4 linked regions of the Caenorhabditis elegans genome follow. The protein of the gene in region 4 purifies or fractionates together with the protein of the main gene of each other region. This does not show direct contact. Each region holds a gene or a part of one and is shown on either strand. Other genes may lie near its edges. The genes, in order: ssb-1, eef-1B.2, csq-1 and nxf-1.

Region 1 (5,006 bases), on a different chromosome or scaffold from region 4:
TTTCTGACTGTATACTTCTAGTGCGTGGTTGTGTACGTCAAGATAAATACAATATACAAAGTGCCCTTTCATCATTATTTTTCATGTTTCATTATTTTAAAATCTCTTAATTTTCAGGTTCAAACTTTCAACAAGCTCTTCTCATCGTCTTCAAAATGACCCTCTCGGTAAGCTTCAAATTCCGATGTAGAAAATCCAAAATAATCTCAAATTCAGAATAATGACAACAACAGAAAGCAATAATTGTAAAACCGTGATTTTTCAATGTTGGCAAATTCCCTTCAAAATAGCGGAGGGAACTTAGTCAAAATTGAAAAAGAGACATTTTTATAATTTGGCGATTTTTTTCTGAATTTGAGACTACTTTAGATTTTTTGAAGCAAAATGTTGATATTTTCCCAATAAAATCTCACTAAGTCTTTTCAATTTTCAGTTCGACGACGCTGCTGCCACCGTTAAGACCCTCAAGACTTCCCCATCGAATGATGAGCTTCTCAAGCTCTATGCTCTGTTCAAACAAGGAACCGTCGGCGACAACACCACCGATAAGCCAGGAATGTTCGATTTGAAGGGAAAAGCCAAGTGGTCTGCCTGGGATGAGAAGAAGGGACTCGCAAAGGATGATGCTCAGAAGGCCTATGTTGCTCTTGTTGAGGAGCTCATCGCCAAGTACGGAGCCTAAATAAATTCTGTTTGATAATACGTTTTTTTAACATTTATATTTTTGTAATGAAGATTCTGTGATTCCGAAGAATTTAGACATAAAGTTGCCTATTTGATCAGCAAACTTGAACTTTCAGAAGAATGCATTTTCCATGTTCCCTGTTCCGAGTGATCTGCAATTTCTTTTTTTCCGGTCTGCTACTCTAAAACTTTGGTTTATCCGAATAATTTATAAATCAAAACCGCAACTCTTTTAAATTGGTAATAATACAGTAAAAGAGATGTTAAAAAGAGTGAGAAGTCAACAAAATGAGGGTATTCAAGATTAATGAATGGGGGGACAACACAACAATAATGATAACAACAAAAAATGGAGGAAAAAGTAAAAAAAAAAGAATGAGATTTTTGGGTTTGTTCAACAAAAGATGAAATTACTCGGCGGCAGCAGCAGCTGGAGCACCATCCTCAGCGAACACAGTACGCTTAGCCTTTGGCTCATCAGATCCATCTGCACCTTCATCGTTTGCTGACCGCTTATCACCTCGGCGGTCTCCGCGTCCACCTCTTCCACCACGACCTCCACGACCACCGCGGCCTCCTCGTCCGCCACGACCACCGCGTCCTCCACGTCCACCTCCTTGCCTCTGATTCTTTCTGGCATTGAACTCTGTCCAGTATTTCTCCTCCTCTTCTCCATCCAAAACTCGTGCGGAGAGCTCAGCCTCTTGAAGAATGACTTTTCCATCAGTTCCAGCTGCAACAGCGTTGTCCCAGGCCTTCTGCGCTCCTTCGCTGTCATTGTTGAAGCGGATTTCGGCTGTTTTGCCTCCATTTTCATGTGCAACGTATCCAACAGATCCGTGCAATTTGAAGAAAGTCTTGATGCTGTCAATAGTTGAATCAGGTCCAAGTCCATCAACGGCCAGAATGAGACCTTTCTCGTAACGGACAGCGTGCTGAGCCTTTTCTGATTCAATCGCTTCAGAAGTATTCTTAGCTGATTTGGCAGCCTTGTTTGCAGCACGAGCTTCCTTGGTTTCTTTGTTCTTCAGAGTCCAATACTCATCTTGCATCATCTTGGTCAACTCTGTCTCTCCGAACTTAACTTCAGCCTTTTGTGCGGCTTCGGCCTCCTCTCTAGTTTTGTAAGTGATGAACACACTTCCTTTGAAGGTTCTGTCTCCTGGCTTCAAGCGACGCATAAGAACGTTCTCGGTTTCTCCGAATTGATTGGCCCATTGAATAATGTCGTCCAATTGGGTGTCAGTGCTGAATCCTTTCTGAAAAATGAGAAATTGATAATGTAAAGACAAAATCAGAAAGATACAAACGTACCATATACACAGTTCTGTGCTTGATTTTTTGCCAGTACTCCAACGAGTTCTCCGGTACTGGATTCTCTTCGTTTCTGCGGATTTTCTGGTTGTCTTCGGAGACGCTGATTATTCCCGAACCAGAGTTCTTGACAGCGTTGGCAATCTTTTCAGTGTCCTTGCTGATCGAGGCTAGGCGGTTGAAATTGAGCATCGTGGTAATTGGGACCCCTGAAATGAAAAATCAACAATCTTAGAATTGAAGAAAAACAACTTACATCCATCGTCTTCCTTGAGTTTTTCCTGGAGGAACTTGTCTCTTGGAAGATTGATGTTTCCGAAGTAATACTCCAATTGCTTAATGATCTTCTGATCAGCATCGTCGTGAACGGCGGCAGCGGTCTCACCCATTTTCTTGCTGAATAATACAAATTAACAGAGAATACAACAGAAACGAAAACGAAACAGAAGAAACAAGGCATGTAACATTTTGGAACAAATCTTACTTCAAACTTCGACTTTCAGTAATGCGAAAACTCATTTAACGTGTTTTCTAATTCCTGAAGTTGATTGCTCGATAATTAAACTGAACATAATCAAACTAGGTGAAATTAGGCCTAGAACGCCTAAAAACTAGGGAATTTGAGATTTTCTCGAAGTATATTTTCCAAAAGTTGATTATTTAAATATTAAATGTTAATTTTAATTTGATTTTCTTTTAAAAAATGTAAAAAAATAAAGGAATAACAGCGACCGATAAAAAGAAAATATAAAAAATGTGTGCAATGAGTTTGAAGTTTCGAAAATGATTTTTTGCAACCCTGGCACACACTTTATGCAAAAACGGCGCACGCAATTGATGCTCCGCCCACTTGTTATTTATTATTTTTGTTCGTTTTTTTGTTGTTCTTCTGTTTTTCCTCTGTTGAGATGGGAAATTTTGATGAATTTTCGATTAAAAATAATAATAAAATAACGAAAATTTCGAGAAACAAAAGTTTCAGCTGATAAAACTTTGTAAAACAAAGAAAACCTCTGTATTTCTTTTTTGTTTATTTATATTGCCTCGTGATTGCGAAAGTTAACGCAATACATCTTGCTTTGTTGAAATATTATATCGATTTTCTAATCAATTATTTCCAGAAAATACAAAATTAATTGAAATTTCGATTAATGGATCCGCGTGAAACGGCAATCGGACTTGTCCGATATGTCACCGAAAATGCGGCAAAGGATTTCGACGGAGAATCGATTGCAGCAATTATTTACAGACTACGGGTTGTTGAAAATTGTAAGGAATTCTAGAATGATTTTATTTACATGCTTTTTTGGGTGGAAAACACCAAAAAAATCCTTTTTTTTCCAACAAAAAAAACCCTGATCCGTTCTGAATCTATTATTTTTCCAGATGTAAGCAGCGATGTCGACATTATCTGCGAAGCAATGCGAATTTTAATCAAAAAACTTGTAAATCTACCTCCAATAACATTTTCTCCGGATGTTTGGATGCCTATAATGACATCTATAACCGAAGGTGCAATTGAACCACAATGGCGAATCATGATGGAATCAATCGATATTTCCAAGTTTTCTTCGACTTCTTCTAATTTTGTGCATATGGATTCCATTACTGCATCTTCTACAAAATGTTCCGAACAGATCACATCAATTTGCAAGGGATTCGCTCTTGAATTCGGATTGACTCGTCGACTTTTCTCAGCTATTTGGAACACTGATCTTGAAGAAACAGCGCGTAAAATGATGAATCAGGAGTGGGATTCTGTGAAAATCGATTCAAGCCCAGACTCGGCGAAACAAGCGGCTGGTCTTATTGAGAAGAGCATTTTTGATTTATTCTCCGAGATGAAGGATCATGAAACATTCGCGAACGAATTGTACTATGCAGCGTTGGCGAGAATTTTGAAGTATGGAAGTTTAAATTTTAAGAAAAAATTAAAAAAATTAATTAAAGCCCCCGAAAGTTTTCAACAATAATAAGTACATCAAGTTTTATTGATCTTGTTAGGTATTTGGTGGCAAAACCGAAAATTCAAACATTTCTGACTAGTTTCACCAATTTTCAAGCACTTTTTGTCTTTTTTTGTTTAGTTTTCCGTCGTTTTAATGAATTTTATGCCAAAGTTGATGAAATGAAATTCATAAACAAATTAAAAAATTCTTATTCACTTTTCAACTTCAAATGCATTCTTTTATTTTAAAAAACGAAGAAAAATGCTTGAAAATGGGCGAAACCAATCAAAAAAATGTTTGAAATTACGGTTTTACCTCAAAATCAGGTGCCGCCGAATTTGTTTTCGATTTTTCGTTTTTTTTTTGAACAAAACCGAAAAATCGAAAATTTTCATTTTTGGCAAAACCGAAAAAAAAAATCTGAAAACACTTCCAAATTGGTATTTCTTATTCAGAATCCAATATTTTTATTACAGTTTACGCACTTTTTCATACAAAAAAAACAGAAATTTCACTTTTTTGAGAAAATTTTTCAGTTTTTTCTTTTTTTCGAGAAAAATCGAAAAACTGGAAAACCGAAAAACCGGCAGGCCTGCTCCAAATACCTAACGAGACCCATGGTTCGAGGGCTGATCATTTTCAAAATAAATTGATTCAGATTCAAACAGTTCACTTAAAAAAATTCCAAAGTAATTCCAGACGCCTCCAAGAAAATAAAAAACCGGCAATTCAAGATTCAGAAGACATTTCATTTTACGAATCTTCACTTCACATCTACGACGAGCTAATCAAAAAGTTATGGCCACATTTATCGAAAAAAGATCCAAATGTCAAAAAGAATACTCTCATCATTTTTGAGAAATTAATTAGTCTATCACCAACTGATGTTCTTGTTCAAAGAATCACTGAAAAATTTATTGACTCTTGTGAATGGCTGAAAATCAGTGGAGAAGAGATTTGTACATCGATGGAACCGAGACTCTGGAAAATTGTTGGATCTCTGGTTTCAAGGATTTTGGATTTAAAAAAGACGATTCCATATGAAATTGGTAAGTTTTT
Region 2 (4,615 bases), on a different chromosome or scaffold from region 4:
AAATGGGGAAAAACTCACGGCGGAATCGATTTTGTGTTCCATTTGAGCAGCATTTTTGCTCTAAATTTATATTTTTTGAGTTGAATTCTGTGATTTTAATATTCAGTACTGCACCAGAGTTCACAAACCGGAGGAAATTAAATTTATTCAACGAAGAACTGACGCAATTTGCACCTAATGAACGTTTATTTAACCGATGAAAACATTTAATATTGTCTATAAATGGAGAAAAACACCGAATAAACCAATTATTCACAAGGTTGAAATACAATAGATAGAAATAATGGATATAAGAACAACTGATTAGGCCTTTAGATCTTGTTGAAGGCAACAATATCGACGGATTGGACGTGATCCTCGAAGTCTCCGGTGATCTTCTCGATGAGATCATCGACCGAAACCTTGAGATCCTCGATGACGGTGATGATCTGGAGTTTCTTGATTCCGTATCCGATTGGGATCAGCTTGGCACCTCCCCAGACAAGTCCGTCCATCTCGATGGATCTGACGAGCTTCTCCATCTCTCCGAGATCAGTCTCGTCATCCCATGGCTTTACGTCAAGGATGACCGAGGACTTGGCGATTGGGCCGGCCTTTGTGGCCTTCTTTGCGGCGTAGGCAGCAAGGCGCTCTTCAACGACCTTCTTCTTCTCCTCGTCCTCTTCCTCGTCTTCGGATCCGAAAAGATCGAAGTCGTCGTCTCCGGCAGCTTCCTCTTTAGCAGCGGCTGGTGCGGCAGCTGGAGCAGCGACGGAGCTGGTCTGAAAACAAAAAATTAGTATTAGAAAATGGAAAATATAAAATTAAGGCTTTTGGACCTCGGAAACTATAACTTCGCAACTTTTTCAACGATTATTTTTTCATAACAATAACATACAACAAATAAATTAACAGAAGACGAGCAGATCTTTCAGGTGAGCACCAGTGGAAGATTATTGGCGACAATCTCCTCAGCAATCCGATTTCTTAGCTCTTCATGGATTCTGGAGCACATTTCACGTCCCATCGGAAGCTCGAGGCCGTGCCATATAATTCTGTAGATCCTATTTGGGAGTGGCGGATCTGGGCAGATGGATCGAAGATATTCAATCTCAGAAATCGCAGCTAAACAATTTCCAGCGATCGATTTTACGAGCTCCACGGCGAGCTTCTCTCCTTCGCTCTCACCGATTTTGAACAAAATCGACAGATCCTGGGCGTAGAAGGGCCTATAGTAGTTGAACTTGAACTTTCCACTCCTCGGAGGCTCAGCCAATTGAAAATCGCGCAGAGACTTCTGCTGATTATCACACTTTTTGAAGGAAAATGTCAATCCTTCACGATTATTGAACCCTTTTTTAGTCTCTTTATAACCGGAAGATCTATAAGATGCGAATCTATCAGTATCGAACCTCTCCAGACTGTCGAGAATGAAGCCATTCTCGGCGCCCAGATAGATTGCCTGCCAGGAATCTTTTTTGTGACTTGGGAGCTCGTTCATCCACGGATCAGAGACCTTCTCGAGCCCAGACTGTCCAATGGCAAGACTGAGAAGAAATACTGCTTGGCTATCCATAATACTTCTGAGGGAAGCAAAAATTCCGGAGAGCAAAATTTTACTCTTTCTCAGATTGGTTTTACCGCCAGGGTGTGGAAAATTCATGATAACCGTGTTAAAGATGTTGCTCCAGCGAACCGGCAGATCTGTCGCGTCAACTCCAAAACATAGGATCACATTGCTCAAAGCGTCTAGAGCGTTTAACGTGTCATGAGCGTTGTATTTTTTCAAAAACTGTTCTTTCGAATCAAAAACAGTTGCAAAGTATACAGTTTCCGGATCTGACGACGCAATGGCAAGGGAAAACGAGAGATTTCCGTCGCCAAGAATCAAAACGTGACGACGATGATTTACCTGTCCTTGGCGAAGAGTCGAGAGTTGAAGTTGAAGCTCAGCGACAAGACTGGCCAAGTCGTCGACCTTCTTGGCAAGAGCAGAGTGCTCTTCGCGAAGCTTGGAGACGTCCTCTCCTCCTGAAACAGAAATGCGTTAAATTAGCTTTCAGAAAATGCCAAATTTACCTTCTTTGTTCAAAGCCTTATCAGCGGCATGCTTGGCATTGTGGATAGCTCCCTTGAGCTCGCTCTTTCCTCCCTTGCATCCTAAAAGACTTGAATATTAAACATTTTATATAAAAAATAATAATAAATACCGTGGTCACCACCAGAAGAAGTTCCTGGCTTAACGTCGGAGAAGACACGCTTCCCTCCATAGAACAATTGTTCTCCAAGAGCAGCATCCAAATGATGAGCGTTGAAGTGCTTGACCTCAGAGAGAAGACCCTCGACAGACATTGTTTTACCTGAAAATTGAATAATAAACTATGCTGGCACATTAAATAAAGTTATAAATAAATTTTCCGAGCGTCAAAACAAATAAAAAACCGAACAACAGCGCTAGAAATACTAGAAAACTGCAAAAATTACCCAAAATTTCTTCACATGCAACACGGCGCGGCGAGACCCATGCGCTGTGAATCTCCATGCGCCTTTAAAGTTTAATGGAGGGAAGTTCAAAATTTGAAGCGAAATCTATTTTTATCGTGATTTAAATCATGATTTAATGATTTTCCATGGTTTCTCAGCTTCTAAATGCAATTTCTGAACGAAAAACAACAAATTTACTTGGAAAAAATAAAATAAAGTTAAAAATACAGAGAAAACCCGTTTAAAAACGCGAAAAATTAAAATATTTTAAAATTTCATTCGGAATCCGAGTCAATTTCACTGGCACGCTGATCCATAATAATATCTCCATCAATACTTCGACTTTTGACGAGTCCAACAGTGAATGCATTCAAACATTCATTTTTCACCATTGCCGAATGAATTACTCGAAGGCAATTCTCACTTTCTGCACGGAGTTCCGGGAATTTTTTGAGAAGAAGCACGCATTTGTTCGTCTGAAAATTGAGATTTTTTGTTTTTTTTTGAGAAAAAAATTGCAGTGGAGGTAACACGTTTTCAGGATCTGGAAAATTTTTTCGATTTTTTCGGGCAAAAATAAAATTTTTTGGGTTTTTTTTAGCCAAAAATGGATTTTTTTTTGATAAAAAACTGTTTTTTTCGGACAAAATTGGATTTTTTTTGGACAAAAATAATTTTTTCTTGGTTTTTTTAAAAGTTTTTTTGAGCATAATTGCAAAATGGTTTTTTTGTGGGGGTTTTGTGGCTAAAAATGGGTTTTTTGGCCAAAATTGGATTTTTTTCTTGGATTTCTGGTTTTTTTTAATCAAAAAATGATTTTTTTTTTGGATTTGTTTTGGGCAAAAAAAGATTATTTCTTCCTTTTTCTAAAGGTTTTTTTTCTAGTTTTTTGGTCAAAAATTGATTTTTAAGGATTTTTTGGTTTTTTTTTTTTTTAATTTGGATTTTTATTGTATTTCTGGTTTTTTAAACCAAAAATTAATTTTTTTTTGGATTTGGTTTGGGAAAAATTAATTTTTTTGGGTAAAAAGGGATATTTTTGGTTTTTTTTAGGTTTTTTGGGTAAAAAATGAATTTTTATGGTTATTTTTTGCAAAAATTGTTTTTCGGTCCAAAATGGTTTTTTTTTCCGGTCTGTTCTGGTTCAAAATTAATTTTTTTTCTTGGTTTTTGGACAAAAACTCACTTCTCGTATTTTACAAAAAAAAATTTTTAAAGCAAAATGTGGTTTTTAATGGGTTTCATATTCTGAAAAGTTCATTTTAAAAAAATCGAAATTCGAATTTTTTTTTGTTTTTGAAGATTTTTTTCTACAAATTTCAATTTTTGTTATTTTTCGCCATCACAAATTAAAAAAAAAAGAATTTTTATTTCAATTTCGGACCAAAAAAAAATCAAATTTCTCTTTAAAAAATCCAAAAATTAAGAAGCCTGTTTTTTTGTTTTTTGCCCCGAAACACTGAAAAAAAAAATCCATTTTCCTCTGAAAATCCAAATCCTGAGAACGTGGAATTTTCCATCGCAAAAAAAAGAACCTTTGCAAAAGTTCCAATACTCTGCAAGACACGATTTCCCTGTTGAACAGCCGATAAAATCTTCTCAACTCTTCTACAAATCGTATCGAAATTGGTTCCCTTCGTAATATTATCCATTAAAAATATGAATGAGCTCTTTTTAGAAACAGTAATCAGAAATTGTTTTCCCTCTTTAATAGCCGACGTCAAAACCGCCGTAGTTCGGATTTTATTGATTCTAAGGAGAAGGCAAAGGATCAGAAAGCATGATGAAGCAGTTTCCCAGGATTCCAGAGTATCCTCGATGTCGACACCTCCATTCTTGGCAGCACTGGCCGACATATCATACTTTAAGCATCGAGAATTCAAATTTCCGAATAAAGTTTTAAAAATGACACCAAAAGTCGTTTTACTAATACAATAAAATGTCGCTTTTCGATCTTCTTTTTCCAATAAATCATCATCAGATTGTTGTGAGAATACGCAGGATTTCCGTTTATCATCCTCTGGAACCAGCTGAACTACTTTATTTGTCAGAATCCATTGAATCGCCAAAAGTTGATCTTTTTCCTTTCGAAGACGAATATAATGGTGAAGAATGTCACGAACTGCACATGTGTAGCGAGTTCCTTTGCTCC
Region 3 (6,846 bases), on a different chromosome or scaffold from region 4:
TAAACAATAAAACGACCATACTTCAAAAATATAATTTCAACGAAAAAAAACCTTGAAAAAACTTTGGCAACTGCCGGTTGCCAAAATTTTTAGGGTTCGGTAACTTCGGTAATTGCAGGTTGCCGAAAATCTTGGTTGCCGCACAGCCCTGATATACACTAGGAATATATATATATATATATTCCAGGTAACAGATTTTTAAAATAATTCAAGAAAATTGAGACGGTCCATGAAAAGCCATGTTTTATAAATCACTATTTAAATATATGCAATTGAAAAAATAGTATAAAAACTTGTGAAACACGTTATTTTAATGTATTTATTTGGTATTTAAATTCAAAATTAAGCACATCTGTCAAAATAGTCAGAAATTAATGTTATAAACACTGATATGAACACCTTGCGCCGCACAACAGTTGTCAAGTATTAAGGAAGTACTGTGGACTTACCCAACATGTACATACTCACCAGTCAGCTAGATATGATATTAAACAAAAATGGAAGGCTTTCACATAAAATTGTTACACATTTTTCATTGGTGACAAACTGTCTTGCAATTTCCAACTCAACTTCACCAAGTACTCCACAGTTCCATGTGTTGCCTTTTTGTCTCAAGGTAGCCCATAATTGTTTTCATCTAACGGAAATTTGAAAGAAAGACATACCAATACATACACAATGGTAATTATCGTATTGCCTTTGCTTCGCAACGTAGTTTGCTGACACTCACCCTCACTGTTTCTGGTTCTCATTGCATTTAAAACGGGCATTTTTGCTATTTTCTGAGTGCAATGTGTGTATGTATGTATGTCTAAGGTCAGAACAAAAACTCAATGAAAATGAGGACTGTCAATCATCTGACTGGTTTTTGTGGAACAATATTGAAAAAAGTAGTGGAGAATTTTGGACGATGGAGTTTTGAAAATTATGAGCTTGGACAGGAAAAAACGTTTTGCAATGAGCAACTAGACATGTGACCTACAAGATAAAATTTCCGGAAATTCATATATATACATATATATATATATGTGTGGGCATATTACAAAACAATAAAAAATTTTACTAAATACGATGCTAAAACCAAAAATATATAGATCCTTGGCATCCGAGGCAAAACATCCTAAATCACTGCAGAGTTGAACGCTTTTTACAACAAACATTTAATTATTTCATTTGTTCTTTATTATATATTAGGGTCACTTGTAGCATAAAACAATGCCGTATTGAAATTCCAAAAAAGTTTATTTTGAACGAAAACATTGTGTCTAACTAGAAGAAACTACCAAGCGGCAACCATTAAAATGTCATGAAAAGAAGTGTTTAAGGTGTGATAACAATACGTGAAAAATAAGAATAGGTAGATCAAAAACGTGATTTTTTTACAGCTCCTTTCTAGACTTCTTTCCCTTTGGAGTTGGTGGTGGTGCTGGTGGCTCTGGCTCATCATCATCATCATCTGAAATTATTTTTTATAGATTTTTAGTTGAAAAAGTTATTCACCATCAAGAGAAATAGATCCGGAAAGAATCTGATCGATCCATGATTGGAGAGCCTCGAAGTTGGAGTCGGAGTGTTTCTTTGGATCATCCAAATTCACTTGAGACATATCGAACCAGATTCCTTCTTTCTGAAATATACATTCTATTAATTGACAAATAAAATAGAGTCTGCTACCTCAGAAATATCAATAAGTCCGATTTGAGGTCCTTCCTCAATATCGATTCCGAACATATCCTCCCACACATCAACCATAAGTGGGAACTCATCAGGGTCGACAAGAATGATTTCCAGGGTTCCAGCGTGCTCGGAGTTCTCATCGGCGATCTTGTCAAGGAGCCTCTTCATGGCTCTTCCCTCACGGGTTTCCTCGTCAACGAATGCCAAGATCATTCTCTCCTCCTCTTCGGGATCTCTCTGGAGCACGATTATTTTTTTCTAGCAAGGATATAAACTTTACATACCCAAAGGTTGAAGTAATTGTCAAGGGTGAGTTTTTGCATAACTGGCTCCTTGTTCTTCTCAACCCAGTCTTCGAATTCTTCCTCGGTATCAGCGGAAGTTGGGGCGAAAAGTGGATCTTCCTCAAATGGTCTGCGCATTTGGACCTCTCCGACTCTCTTTAGTCCGACTTTGCGTGCCCACTAAAAATACATTTATTAAAGAATATCGATTTTAAGTTATTTTTTTTCAAGTACCATATTTGATATTTAAGCGTGAAAATTGGGGTACATATAATAATTCAAAAATGAAAAATCAACATCTATTATACTTTTTCATAATACATTTTTGAAAAAAAATGCTCTCAACACTTACTTTAGATGTCACAACTGCGAAGAATTCGATCTCTCCCATAAAGTCTTCAGCGGCTTCCTCGAACTCCTTGAGAGCTGAAATTCTTTTAAAATTTATGCATGACAGCTTGTTCACATTCCGTACCAACTGATCCTGGCTCAAAGTATCCAATAATTCTGACACATTCGTCATCCATATTTTCAAACTCTTCCAAGTCATGTTCATCATTGATAATAGTCACTGGATCGTCTGGGATCTTAAATTGAAAAATAATTTATGGAATTAGCAAAAACTTAATAAATAACGTACATCCATCAGCCATGAAACAAAAGTTTCTGGATCACGAACACCATTGTACTCGATCTTGTAACCATCCTTGTACACGTGAATAGTGTCCTCTCCCTTTTCAACTTCTGAAATTTTGAATCAAGAATTAATGAAGAATTAGAAGGTTAACCAATTCTTAAATGTTTTTTTATTTAAATTAAGTTTCCACAAGTTTTGTGAAGCTTCGACAACATAAAATGATTAATTGGTAAAAATAATATTCGATTATGGTCCATTCTCGGAAACGTCACACTACGTGCTAAATGTTAAATTTTCCGTGAATTTCAAATTCTGAACTTTTATAAAAATATTTTATAAATCAAATTAACAAAAAAAGTAAAATTTGACACCTGTAGCAGCCACTATGAATGAGATCGTGACGAGACCCACTTTAAAAAATCAATTCATGACTTTAAACGGACATTTCAAAATTTCGTAGCATTACAATGTGGGTACATATAAATGAGATATGCACCAACTTACGAAAAAGAAATGTACAATCTTGCCAAAAAAGATATGTACCAACTTTCAAGAAATGGAAAAATATGAGGTAAAACATCATATTTCTATTTTTACTTTTGGCATAGAACAATTAATTTTTAGCAATACGTACGTTTCAATAATTATAACCATGTAATACAAATATTGAATTTTTTGAAAACATGACACAAAAATATGGAATATTTTTTAAGTTTTTGTGGAACAGCAAATGTTTACCTTCCTGCTTCCTCAAGCGATGTTCTTTGGTGGTGTTGACAGTGTAAAAGTTGTATCCTCTCTTGGTCATAATTTGAGCAGACAACTAAAATTCATAAATTAAAAATAAACTATCAAATTTTGAATTTCACCTGAAGGAAGCACTCATACTGGTCAAGCTCTGAGTCGTCCTCTTCCACGTCGTTGAAGAACACTACCGATTTGGTGTCTTCAGCGAAAACAGTTCTGTTGAAGTTCTTCTCGGTCAGAACCTGCAATTATTGATTTTTTTTTGTTGAGTGAAGATGAATATCTGTTGCAGTGTAATATGATAGGTTGGTTCGAAAACCCCGGATGTCGAAAATTTTGTTATAGGTCAAGTTTTGCTAGAATGACGCAATTGTTTACTGACATTGTGAAGTTAAATTAATGTCTTGTTATTGAGTAATTTAAGTTAAAGAATTAAATGAAAAATGATGATCAAGATAGTCGAGAACAATTGTTCTCAAAATTTTTTAGTTTTGAACTATAGGAACTAACTATAGGAATCTATAGTCTGCTTAGAAGTTGTTTTTATTTAATTATTGATAATTTTAAACTCAAATATTATCGAAAAATACGATCGCACAATTTTCTCATAATTTATTTTTGATCTACCTTGTTGACGAGGCTCCTCCCCTTCCTTCGACAAGACAGCCACAACAAAATAACAACGGCGACAAGATTGGGGGCGGAGACAACAGGTAGATCAAAAGTAAATTATGAGAAATGTGTGCGATCGTATTTTTTCGATAATACTAATGAATAATGTTTCAAAAAAATTTTTTAAAAAAATCGCTTCTAACCAAATAACTATTAACTATACCTTCTAGTTAGTGGATAAATTGTTGAAAAATCTAGAAACTTGTTCAGTTTTGGTATTTTGGTAATTTTGGATTCTAAAAAGTTGATTGACTCTAAAATAATATTTTTATTGGCAAATTTGAACGGAAAAAAAGCCTAAGAAGGAAAAAGAAAAAAAGCCTGAAAGTTCACTGGCAATTCTCGCCAACTCTTGCCAACTAAAATTGACAAAATTGACAAAATTCTCATTTATTTCTATGTACATTCATTTTTGATTTGTAAAAAAAAAAACAAAATCGGTAGTTTTGCAGATTTTCAGAAAAGATTTGCAGAATGGACAAAATAGACATTATAAATCCTATATCCAAATAACTCACCTCAGTTCTGTCGAATCCGTCGTATTCGAGATCTGGATATCCTAAGAACATGCATTCCAAGTCTTCGTTTTTGGAGATGCCTGCACTTGCAAGCACAACCACTAGCGCAAGGCTAGCAAGTTTGATCCAAGTCATTCTAAAGACAACGCAACTTATTTTTTGCTGTAGAAAAAAGCGAGAGATAAAAGGAAGGAAGGATGTGCATGGAGATCTTTTCAAAAAAAGAAGACAAAAAAGTGACACGAAACAAGGATAGAAAAGTCAAAGGGTATAGTGTGTGGAAAAGGTCCGCGCTAGCTGTTGGCGGCTGCTGCATTGGCACTGATGTTCTTCTCTTTGATCGCTATTCTTACACAATTCCACTGCCATCCGCGGGGCCCCGCCAGCTTTCGTTGTAAAGGGGGGAGCTGAGAATAAGCTTGATACCGAGGTAGCGAAACGAGCACAGCAGGAAGCTCCTGAGGCGCCTTTTCCTCCGGTGACTGATTGACTTTACACTATATATTTGTCGAGATGAAAACAAAAACTACGTGAAAGAAGATGAAGAAGCTGAAGGAGTGTGGGCGAGATTGGAGGTGAGGCAACAGTGTTTGTGGGGGCAATTGGAAGAGTTCATATCTCTAATAAATCAATAACGTGAGGGGAACATGCAACTTTCCAACTTTTTTCATAGCTGGCAACTTGAAAATAACCGTACAAGCATTCAAGTAGATGTTTGCATAGGAGAAAAACACATGAAACATGATATCATTCCTCACACTGTCTACTTTGAAAATTTAAATACACTTAATAAAATCGCGCAGCCGACATTCACTGAGACTCGCGTCGAACCACAGTAAATCCGTTTAGGGCGTTACATAGAATCCATCAAAAGTTTACCACCAAAAACACTTTATTCTCATATTTAGGCTTAGGAATTACCACTTTAAAATGTTATTGAGGATCGAAAATAGTGTAACAATAGTAAAGAAACATAAGTGTTTGAGTTACAACTTTTCGGGGTTCAGCTACTGTAAATTAATTAACTGAGTTCTGGATTAAATATTTAGTTTCGAAGTGTCTCTAAATTTCGGAATAAAATTGTTTTAAAAATATGTTTCAATTATAATTCGAACACGGAAAAATTGTTATACTGAAGGATATCTTCAAATTAGAGGGAATTAACAGAACAGAACAAAGGTAACATGATTTCCAAGTAACAGCTCATATTTCGGTGCCAACATTTTTTTGCACCGAAACATTTGTTTTTAAATCAACTTTTCGCAAAAAAAAAGTGTTCCTCATCTGCCCACACATCTGGCAAAGAATATCTATAGCATTCGGCTTTCAAAAACCAAACGGCAGTCTTCATCATAACCAACCGACTGACGTCACTGCTCGAAATAATTTTTCATCTTCGACGTAGAAATTTGCGAAATGAAATCAATCGGTACCGCTAACTAATACTGCCATTCGCCCTACTCCTCATCTTGCTCAATAAATCGGCAAACATATCACCCTCTACCCGCTTGGTAGGGGGGCACATTTATCCGAATTTATTTGCGTCTGCGATCACTCAAGCCAACACACCACACAAAAACTTGATTTTTCAAGGATTGATCAGTAAATCAGCGATCGGGGTAGTATTATGGGATTTGCATTTCGTTTGTGGAATTAGTGAATTGACGTGGCAAGGAAGAATCTGGTAAAGCAAACGTTTTATGTGGTATCGTTGAGAATCTGGATTTGGAAATTGAAAAATAAAATATAAAAATTCGAATCGTAAATTGATAAAATATAGTGGTCCTTGTGAAATTGCTGTGTACTCCAAAAAGTTGTTCATTTCTTGAAAATTGAAAACTGGCCTTATTTTTATGCCTAGGTATGGTTGAAGTGACTATTCAAGCAACCCCACAAGTAACAACATAATATTACAATTGGAATATGACATGTCAAAAATCGAGGATCTAGGAGTTCAAGGGATAATTGTTTTCACTTTAAAGTTGTCACTTTTCAGAGAGAACACTTTTTGTAGGTTCACATTGGCACTGACGAATAATGTGAACAGTGGAGATTTTTCTGGAAAAATAAGTATTTGTTTGAGCTAGGAATTCTCTAACATACGTTGTTCCATTTTTGCATATCATTTTCACTTTTCTCTGCTTTTTCTTCACAGCAGTGCAACAATTCTGAAAGAAAATAACAGCTTTATTTGAGAATCAGAATAACATGAAGATTTCGATTTACCTGTTCGCCTCCACAGTAACCATTACACTCTGCTATCTTGATTCTGTCAACCGATCTACACTCATTTTCTATATGATGCCTTCTG
Region 4 (6,848 bases):
ATGATTCTCGTTGCTTGTTATGTTCTAATTCTGAAAGTGAGTTTATTATTTGATAGGAAAAATGTAAAGTAATTAAATATTTCAAGGATATTTACAAGACTCTGAATACGGACACCGAATGCTCTTCAGCTGCATATCTTTCTGAAATGAGCTCATCAAAGACTGGAGGAAAAGCTGCTCTTCACAAGAAGGATCAAGAGAGTTTTGGTAAGAAGAATCACATCTCATAATTTTTAATAAATTATTTATTTTTAGTCACCCTAACTACTCGAACAGTTCGTGGACAGGAAAAGTTTCGTCGAGCAAAAGTTCGGAGCCTCCGAATCACACTTTTGCTCATTTTGACGTACGCTGTCACTTGGCTTCCATACAATTTGCTCTCCTGGTGGATGGTTCTTCATTGGGATTCGTATCGTGAGAATCTGGATTCCAACTATATTCTGAATTCATTGGTGGTTCTAAACAGTGTCATTAATCCATTCATTTATGGAAGGTTCGGTTTTGGGTTATATAATTTTATTTGATAAAAAAAAGAAAAGAATGAGACGACAAATTTTTGAAATATAAGATAAAATAGAGGGATAATGATGACAGGGCAAATTGAAAAAACGAAGAATTAGAGAATGAATAGTTAGAAAACCAATATGATTAATTTTCAGATGCCAGGGGATTCGATTCTTGTTCAAGTGTAGAGAGCGATTGGCTGCTCCCAAAACAAAGAAGATTTGCAAGTTATTGCAAAACTAAGGAGGAATGGAGTGGGACAAAATACGGGTCAATAAACACATCGAGAGGTGTAGAATAATTGATAATGCATTTTCTGAAAATACAATAAAGAATAATAATGATAATTTTTGCAAGTTTTCCGACGATTCGCTCATAGATCCCTAGTTTTTTTTTTTTTTTAATTGACCTCCGAAAAAGAGAAAAGTCAGTGAAGATAGCAACTGTTATGGAGACTGCCAACAGATATTAAATTTAGTTTAATTCAACTACGAACACACGCCCAACGTCACTCCAAATGGTGCCAAAGAGCTTCTGCAGGACACACACTTCGGCGAACTCCTTTTTTGAATTAGGAGGAAGTGTTAAAGAGTGTGAAAAGCTCAGTGACGGTGAAAGATGGAAGTGGGAGCGACATTCGACGTGTTAACTAATTCTAACTAATGAAAAATTTAAATACCATTGGCAGTTCCGTTTACAGCACTATACGATTCACCAGTGACTATTAACATGTTGAAAGAAACTCGAACCAATTGAGATTTGTGAGGCCTAATTTTAGAAAGGTTAACGTTAAAGCGAATTGTAGAAATACCTGGAGGAGCTAGTTCGAAAGAGGGGAAGGGATGAAAAATTGCAGAAAAATATTAAAAACTAAAAAGGGCGAACAGAAGAAAATTGAACGAAAGATCGATAAAAAAAGAGTAAATCAGGAAGAACTAAGCATACTGAAGATGTCGATAGAACAGTATTTAATGAGCAAACGCTTCTGCTGGAACTGATGATTTTATTTCGTTGAACTTCTGACAGGCGAACTGAAATTGCTTCAATTTTAACAAATGCTTTGAGAAATGATTAACATACGTCAAAGTTCCAAGCGCAGTCTGCAAGACATTTCTCACTGAATGGTGGAATCATTCCACTGAACTGGCACATCGCTTTGATCATTTCCTCACGAATCGGTAGTGCAGGTGCTCCGTCGAATCCCATTCCGTTAACTCCGATTTGTGCAATTTGAACGGCGCTAACTTGTTCCACGGCCGCACCATTTGCAATAGATTGATCGTACAGCTTCTTGAACTTTTCTAATCGATCCAACGAGGCAACTGTGATAAAAAGCTGATCAGAGATTACTGCAACTGAGCTGAAAATACGAAAATCATGAGTATAAGTTTGAGATACAAAAGTGTAACCCACTCATTCTCTCTCGGAGACACCAAAAATGATCTGCTGAAGAAACTGGGTGAAGGGGTCTGTGTAAGATCACCATCGCAGAATAGTCCTTGAACTGTGAATCCGAGAAGATCATTTGATTGGAGAAAAACGTCGACAATAAATGTGTCCCTCATATGGCTAGATGTTGGCAGTTTTGAGAGAGCAACTGCAATATCCATGGCTCCACGCGCTGAACGAGAAGCTCTATGACGAGCGAATCGCTCCTGTTTCAGCACGTTGTGTGATACACCAGCGTATTGTGCAAAGCACTCGCTGAAAATCAATAAATATAATAATATTGTGCATTTTAAAATATCCTTACTCATTGTGGTGTCGTGCATGAGAAGATCCACGCAAATGTTCGATTGTCAACGAGAATGTTGAAGCATCAGCGTCGTACGCATTGTGGAGATTTCTTCTAGTTCTCTGGCCATCCGGTCCATCGTAGAAATCAAAGTATGAAGTCACAAATTGCTCGACAAGAACTCGGATCTGTGGATTTGGGTAATATCCAGCCTAAAAATATTAGAATAACGAAGGTTCTAGGGAGATTTAAATCCGCAGGAACTTACTCTGAATGGCATTGCGTCATGAATATCGAGATCCGGTCCAACAACCAGCGGCTGCACTTCGACTCCGTCCTGAAAGTAGTTTCATTCCGAGATGCGAACTTGGCTCAATGTTAAATAACTTACCAGCATGTTGCATCGCGGGAATGATTGATGAATATAGCTGAAGTGGTAGGTTTGGGGTTAATGAACATAATAAAATAGGGAACAAGGAGGAAAACACAATGAAATTTAAATAAAAAATCTGAAAATCATTCAGATAATGTAACCTGATATATGCTGCCCTCTGTGTGAATGACTCGACGACTGGGTTTCCTTCAAAGAAGAATCTTTCGACTGGCAATCCGGCGAATTTCTCTAACTCCTTTTCAGTGGAAATCTGTAAATCAAAAGTTGAATAAAAAATAGCTAGATCTATTGAACTAACGTGGTTGTGACTCAAATCCAACTCCATAACGAACTTAGCGATTGACACGAGAGCTGAAGCGTAGTCCAAATGACGGATGCGATTGTTCTGAAATGATAAAAATTACTTTTATAGAGAATATTAAGAGCATGACTCACTGATAACGACAAAGCCACAATGTTTCCGTACTTATCATCAATGTGATCGAGAACTGTGAGCATGACATTTCCTTTCGTCAAATTCATCATCATATCCTTTGCCTTGAACTCTTCGTCTTCGTGGAAGTTTGATAAATCCAATACTCGATTCTCGGCGTTGTGACGTTTGTCGACTACTCTCTGAAAAATGTTTGTAATGATTACCTGACAAATAAATTTTGAGGCTTACATGAATGATCTCAATTTCCTCTCGTTTCAGTTTCATCCATGGGGCTGGAACTTTGGAAGTGTAAAACTCAACGCGTGTGCCACTTTCTTTGTGGACAACACGACGATTATTGGCTCGGATAGTTGAAGCAGTGTCCTCGTCGCGGACGTACCATTCAAAGTCTCCACGGGCGTTATCAGTCCAGAGAAGTGGCTTGAAATTTTCGATTATTTGATTAAGCTGCTTGATCAGCCACTTGGCATCAACTTTCTTGGCAGCTCCAGTAGCACGGCACTTGTAGACGATGTCAGCATTACGAACTCCAGTGTTGGCGATGGATGCAGCCGATTGTCCGAAACCGCGTGATGATCCTCCACGACCACGGCTACTGGCAGAAGTAAGGCTTGCACGAACTGAAACAAAAATAAGTTGGCAAGGATATGAATAAATCTAAGCGTTACCTGGAACGGCAGGCTCGTCGTCGTCTTCATATCTGCTTTGAGTGTCTGGGTCAAGTCGAGCAAAACGATTCTTTGTACGTGACAATTGCTTCGCGTCACGATGCCCTCCAAACCCTTTGCGATTCATATCTGAAAGATTTGTATTTCATCGAGGGAAAACTGGTATCGAAAAATTAAATTAAAGGTGTAGGTGAAACACAAATAAATATGATATTCAAGAGAAAGCAATATTGAACATGAAAAGTTATAATAGACAAGGAAAAGTTAAATTTTTACTCATTTCGAAAGTGTTGCGAAACTGGGACGGCTGCCTCATTCCAGCCGGGAGATAATTTAGTTTTGCGGAAATCAGAAAACTCAATGAATCAGATTTTAAAACTATAATTTCACATTTGGAACACTAAGCAAAGAACGGCAATTCGAAAATTGGTGAAACTGAATCATATTTATGCAAAAAAAAATCTCGTGACTTTTATCGGTTGTGCAAACACCGTTACGCAAAAATGCAGACGAGCCCCCAATTTGACGACATAAACAAGAATAAAAAATGTTTTAGGCAAACATGTTTCATGCGAGTCAGAAAATGACGTGAATTCTCGGTTAGAATGATAGTAACACTTAAGAGGCATGATAAAAATCGATCATGCAAAATATTAATCGTTGAACAGTGATTTTCAATTTCGCCGACTACAGTAACCGCAAAAAGATACTACTGTAATATATGAGTAAATTTTCAATATTTCACTGTCACCTGTCAACAAAATATACATATTTCTGCAAATTCAGTGGCTATATAGATAGCAGTAAAAATACGAGAAAACGTTTTGTTCCCCGTAATTTTTGTTTGCTCACCACTCTTTTCCCATCTTCGCAGCCAACAATTTCCAAAACATCCGTCTCTCTCCATTGTTCTTACAACTAAAAGAATATGAAGAAGTACACCCCTGATTCGCGTCTTGACAATATTGCGCCTATTCCGACGCGTTTTGAACGTCGGAAGATGTTGCCAGACATCGGAACTTCAGCCGAATTCACATTCTCCCGTGTTCCCGTATTTCCCGGTTTGAGGAAACCGGGGTAGGTATTTCCACGAAAAGTCTCTTGAAAATGGAATTGTTTCAGAAAAAGAATCATCGCGATCTACCTAGCGAGTGCTTCAATTGGATTCGCAGCTGCTTGGTTTGGTGCTGCCACTTTTGATCAGGTCAATTTGAAAATTGATAGCTACAAAGACCGATTAGACATTGTTCCATACAAATAATTTTTAAAAATGAAGATTAACAAATAACTGTAAAATGTTGAGACAAAAAAAAACATGCTAGGTGTTGGTAACAAGATATGATCCGAAACTAGACATAAAAATACAAATAGGATGCCGTTTAAATGTATGAAAATATATAATTTTCACTGGTCAATGTCCGTTGCTGTCTCCACTAGCATGCGGTACTGATCGCCGCGTCTTTTTGACATCGAGCTAATGAACAGCTGATCGGAAACAATGGCGACTTTTCCTTCGCCTCTTGGAGCAACCATGAATGTTCTCGTAAAATAATTATCATGTTCCTCAGTGTTCTCGGGCTTTATCGCAGATGGTCCGTCACGAAATGTTCCATGTAATGTGAATCCGAGAAGTGTTGCCGAAACAAGGAACACGTCAACTACGAATGTATCCATCAGATGAATTGTGGCAGGAAGTCTCGAAAGTGCAACTACGATATCCATTGCACCGTGTGATATTCTGGAGGCCCGATTTGCGGCAAAATATTCCTGATTCAGAACATTGTGCGAAGTTCTCAGGTACATTCGATAGCTCTCACTTGAAATATAAATAATTATTAAAACCTTAAGACTTCAGACGGTACCTGTCCGGATACATGACAAATTTAATTGGGTCCCACAAGCAGACAACTGTATGCGTGAATGTTGACTGAAAAATATATGTTTATATTTACTACTGAAAAAATGCAAGAATCAGCACGTTATTTGTGTCGTACGCATCCAGAAGTTGCTTCCTTGTCTGCTGTCCATCTGCGCCATCGTAGATTTTGTAATATGTGATGATAAATTCTTCGACAAGAGTACGAACTTCATCACTGCCATAGTATCCATTCTAAAATAATTAGATGATTCGGGAATGTAGAAATATACTGTATCACCCTGAATGGAATTATCTGCTCGATTCTATTGTGATCTGGTTTTGGTTCGACTTCCATTCCATCCTACAATTTAGATAGAAATTGAAATAATTGTTAGGATATTCGTGAATTACCAAATTTGAACATTTTGGGAATGTCTTTTGAATAAAGTTGGCATACTCGGCACATTGCACAAACTTCTCGCAGACTGGATTTCCCTCGAAAAACACAGTTTCTACTGGAATCGTTCCTAACTTCTTCAATTCTTCTCCTGACGAAATCTTAGAAAAAAAAGTTATGAAATTTAAGAATACAAAAACTTTTAAAACCTGATTATGACTCAAGTCGAGGAATTTTAGAAACTTGGATATGCTCGAGAGAGAGGAGAGATGGTCCAAGTGACAGAGCCGATTATTCTGAAAATTACATGGAATTAATTATTTTTTCACAAATTAATCTAAACCGAGAATGAGATTCCGGAAATGCGAGGATATTTGTACCCAATATGCTGTAGAACTACCGACATCACTCTTGTCTTCGTGAGGCACATCAACATGTCCCTTTCGACAAATTCTGTGTTTTTTGAAAAGTTCGACAGGTTAAGAACATCGTCAGTCGCAACATAACACCCATCCACGACATCTTGGACAACCTTGATTTCAGCTGGCCTCAAGTTTGTGACATGTGTCTGGCGTGGTGAAGAATGCGATGAATGGGATGAAAGGCTGAGCCGTCCTTCGATATTCCGATAGCCTCGCCGATTTTGTCCACGCATAATCTTAAAAAGTGAGCATTTAGTTTGAAAAATTGAAGTCGATTTGAAGACAAGAAAATCACTTCGTAAATCTACAGCTACCGTAGTCGCAAGGTGTGTCAATCCATGCGAGACCTCCTCATCCTTTGCAGAAATCATCTAAATTTTTTAATTTAGCCCAAATATTTATTTTTTATTTTTTAGCTAAAAAATCAATCCTCA

Evidence for each region.
Region 1: the proteins of nxf-1 (region 4) and ssb-1 purify together in Caenorhabditis elegans (affinity purification with mass spectrometry, with the first as the bait; one study listed by BioGRID). This does not show direct contact.
Region 2: the proteins of nxf-1 (region 4) and eef-1B.2 purify together in Caenorhabditis elegans (affinity purification with mass spectrometry, with the first as the bait; one study listed by BioGRID). This does not show direct contact.
Region 3: the proteins of nxf-1 (region 4) and csq-1 purify together in Caenorhabditis elegans (affinity purification with mass spectrometry, with the first as the bait; one study listed by BioGRID). This does not show direct contact.

Annotation. Positions count from the first base shown.
Region 1 is NC_003279.8:4,631,491-4,636,496, reverse strand, and holds ssb-1 (Lupus La protein), read right to left. Parts: upstream 2,395-5,006; 5' UTR 2,388-2,394; coding exon 2,255-2,387; intron 2,208-2,254; coding exon 1,999-2,207; intron 1,944-1,998; coding exon 1,095-1,943; 3' UTR 882-1,094; downstream 1-881. Other genes in the region: acbp-1 (Acyl-CoA-binding protein homolog 1), read left to right, coding at 156-167, 434-682; ubr-4 (UBR-type domain-containing protein), read left to right, coding at 3,150-3,267, 3,385-3,901, 4,638-4,996.
Region 2 is NC_003282.8:15,035,065-15,039,679, reverse strand, and holds eef-1B.2 (putative elongation factor 1-beta/1-delta 2), read right to left. Parts: upstream 2,350-4,615; 5' UTR 2,332-2,349; coding exon 2,190-2,331; intron 2,140-2,189; coding exon 2,059-2,139; intron 2,011-2,058; coding exon 911-2,010; 3' UTR 842-910; downstream 1-841. Other genes in the region: fcd-2 (FANCD2), read right to left, coding at 2,739-2,939, 3,999-4,615. UniProt on the Caenorhabditis elegans protein: EF-1-beta and EF-1-delta stimulate the exchange of GDP bound to EF-1-alpha to GTP.
Region 3 is NC_003284.9:14,682,702-14,689,547, reverse strand, and holds csq-1 (Calsequestrin), read right to left. Parts: upstream 4,672-6,846; 5' UTR 4,671-4,671; coding exon 4,536-4,670; intron 3,588-4,535; coding exon 3,468-3,587; intron 3,422-3,467; coding exon 3,337-3,421; intron 2,706-3,336; coding exon 2,602-2,705; intron 2,549-2,601; coding exon 2,437-2,548; intron 2,388-2,436; coding exon 2,314-2,387; intron 2,142-2,313; coding exon 1,962-2,141; intron 1,915-1,961; coding exon 1,675-1,914; intron 1,628-1,674; coding exon 1,501-1,627; intron 1,457-1,500; coding exon 1,380-1,456; 3' UTR 1,226-1,379; downstream 1-1,225. Other genes in the region: slt-1 (Slit homolog 1 protein), read right to left, coding at 6,521-6,593, 6,639-6,703, 6,762-6,846.
Region 4 is NC_003283.11:14,411,149-14,417,996, forward strand, and holds nxf-1 (Nuclear RNA export factor 1), read right to left. Parts: upstream 3,867-6,848; 5' UTR 3,865-3,866; coding exon 3,738-3,864; intron 3,690-3,737; coding exon 3,298-3,689; intron 3,249-3,297; coding exon 3,069-3,248; intron 3,019-3,068; coding exon 2,932-3,018; intron 2,884-2,931; coding exon 2,774-2,883; intron 2,668-2,773; coding exon 2,631-2,667; intron 2,577-2,630; coding exon 2,508-2,576; intron 2,452-2,507; coding exon 2,258-2,451; intron 2,209-2,257; coding exon 1,918-2,208; intron 1,865-1,917; coding exon 1,585-1,864; intron 1,536-1,584; coding exon 1,473-1,535; 3' UTR 748-1,472; coding exon of another isoform or gene 660-747; 3' UTR 501-659; downstream 1-500. Other genes in the region: gnrr-2 (G-protein coupled receptors family 1 profile domain-containing protein), read left to right, coding at 1-36, 87-207, 256-493, 660-747; C15H11.11 (Cytochrome b-c1 complex subunit 10), read left to right, coding at 4,666-4,814, 4,860-4,998; nxf-2 (Nuclear RNA export factor 2), read right to left, coding at 5,142-5,553, 5,600-5,664, 5,716-5,847, 5,894-5,956, 6,007-6,153, 6,202-6,288, 6,336-6,647.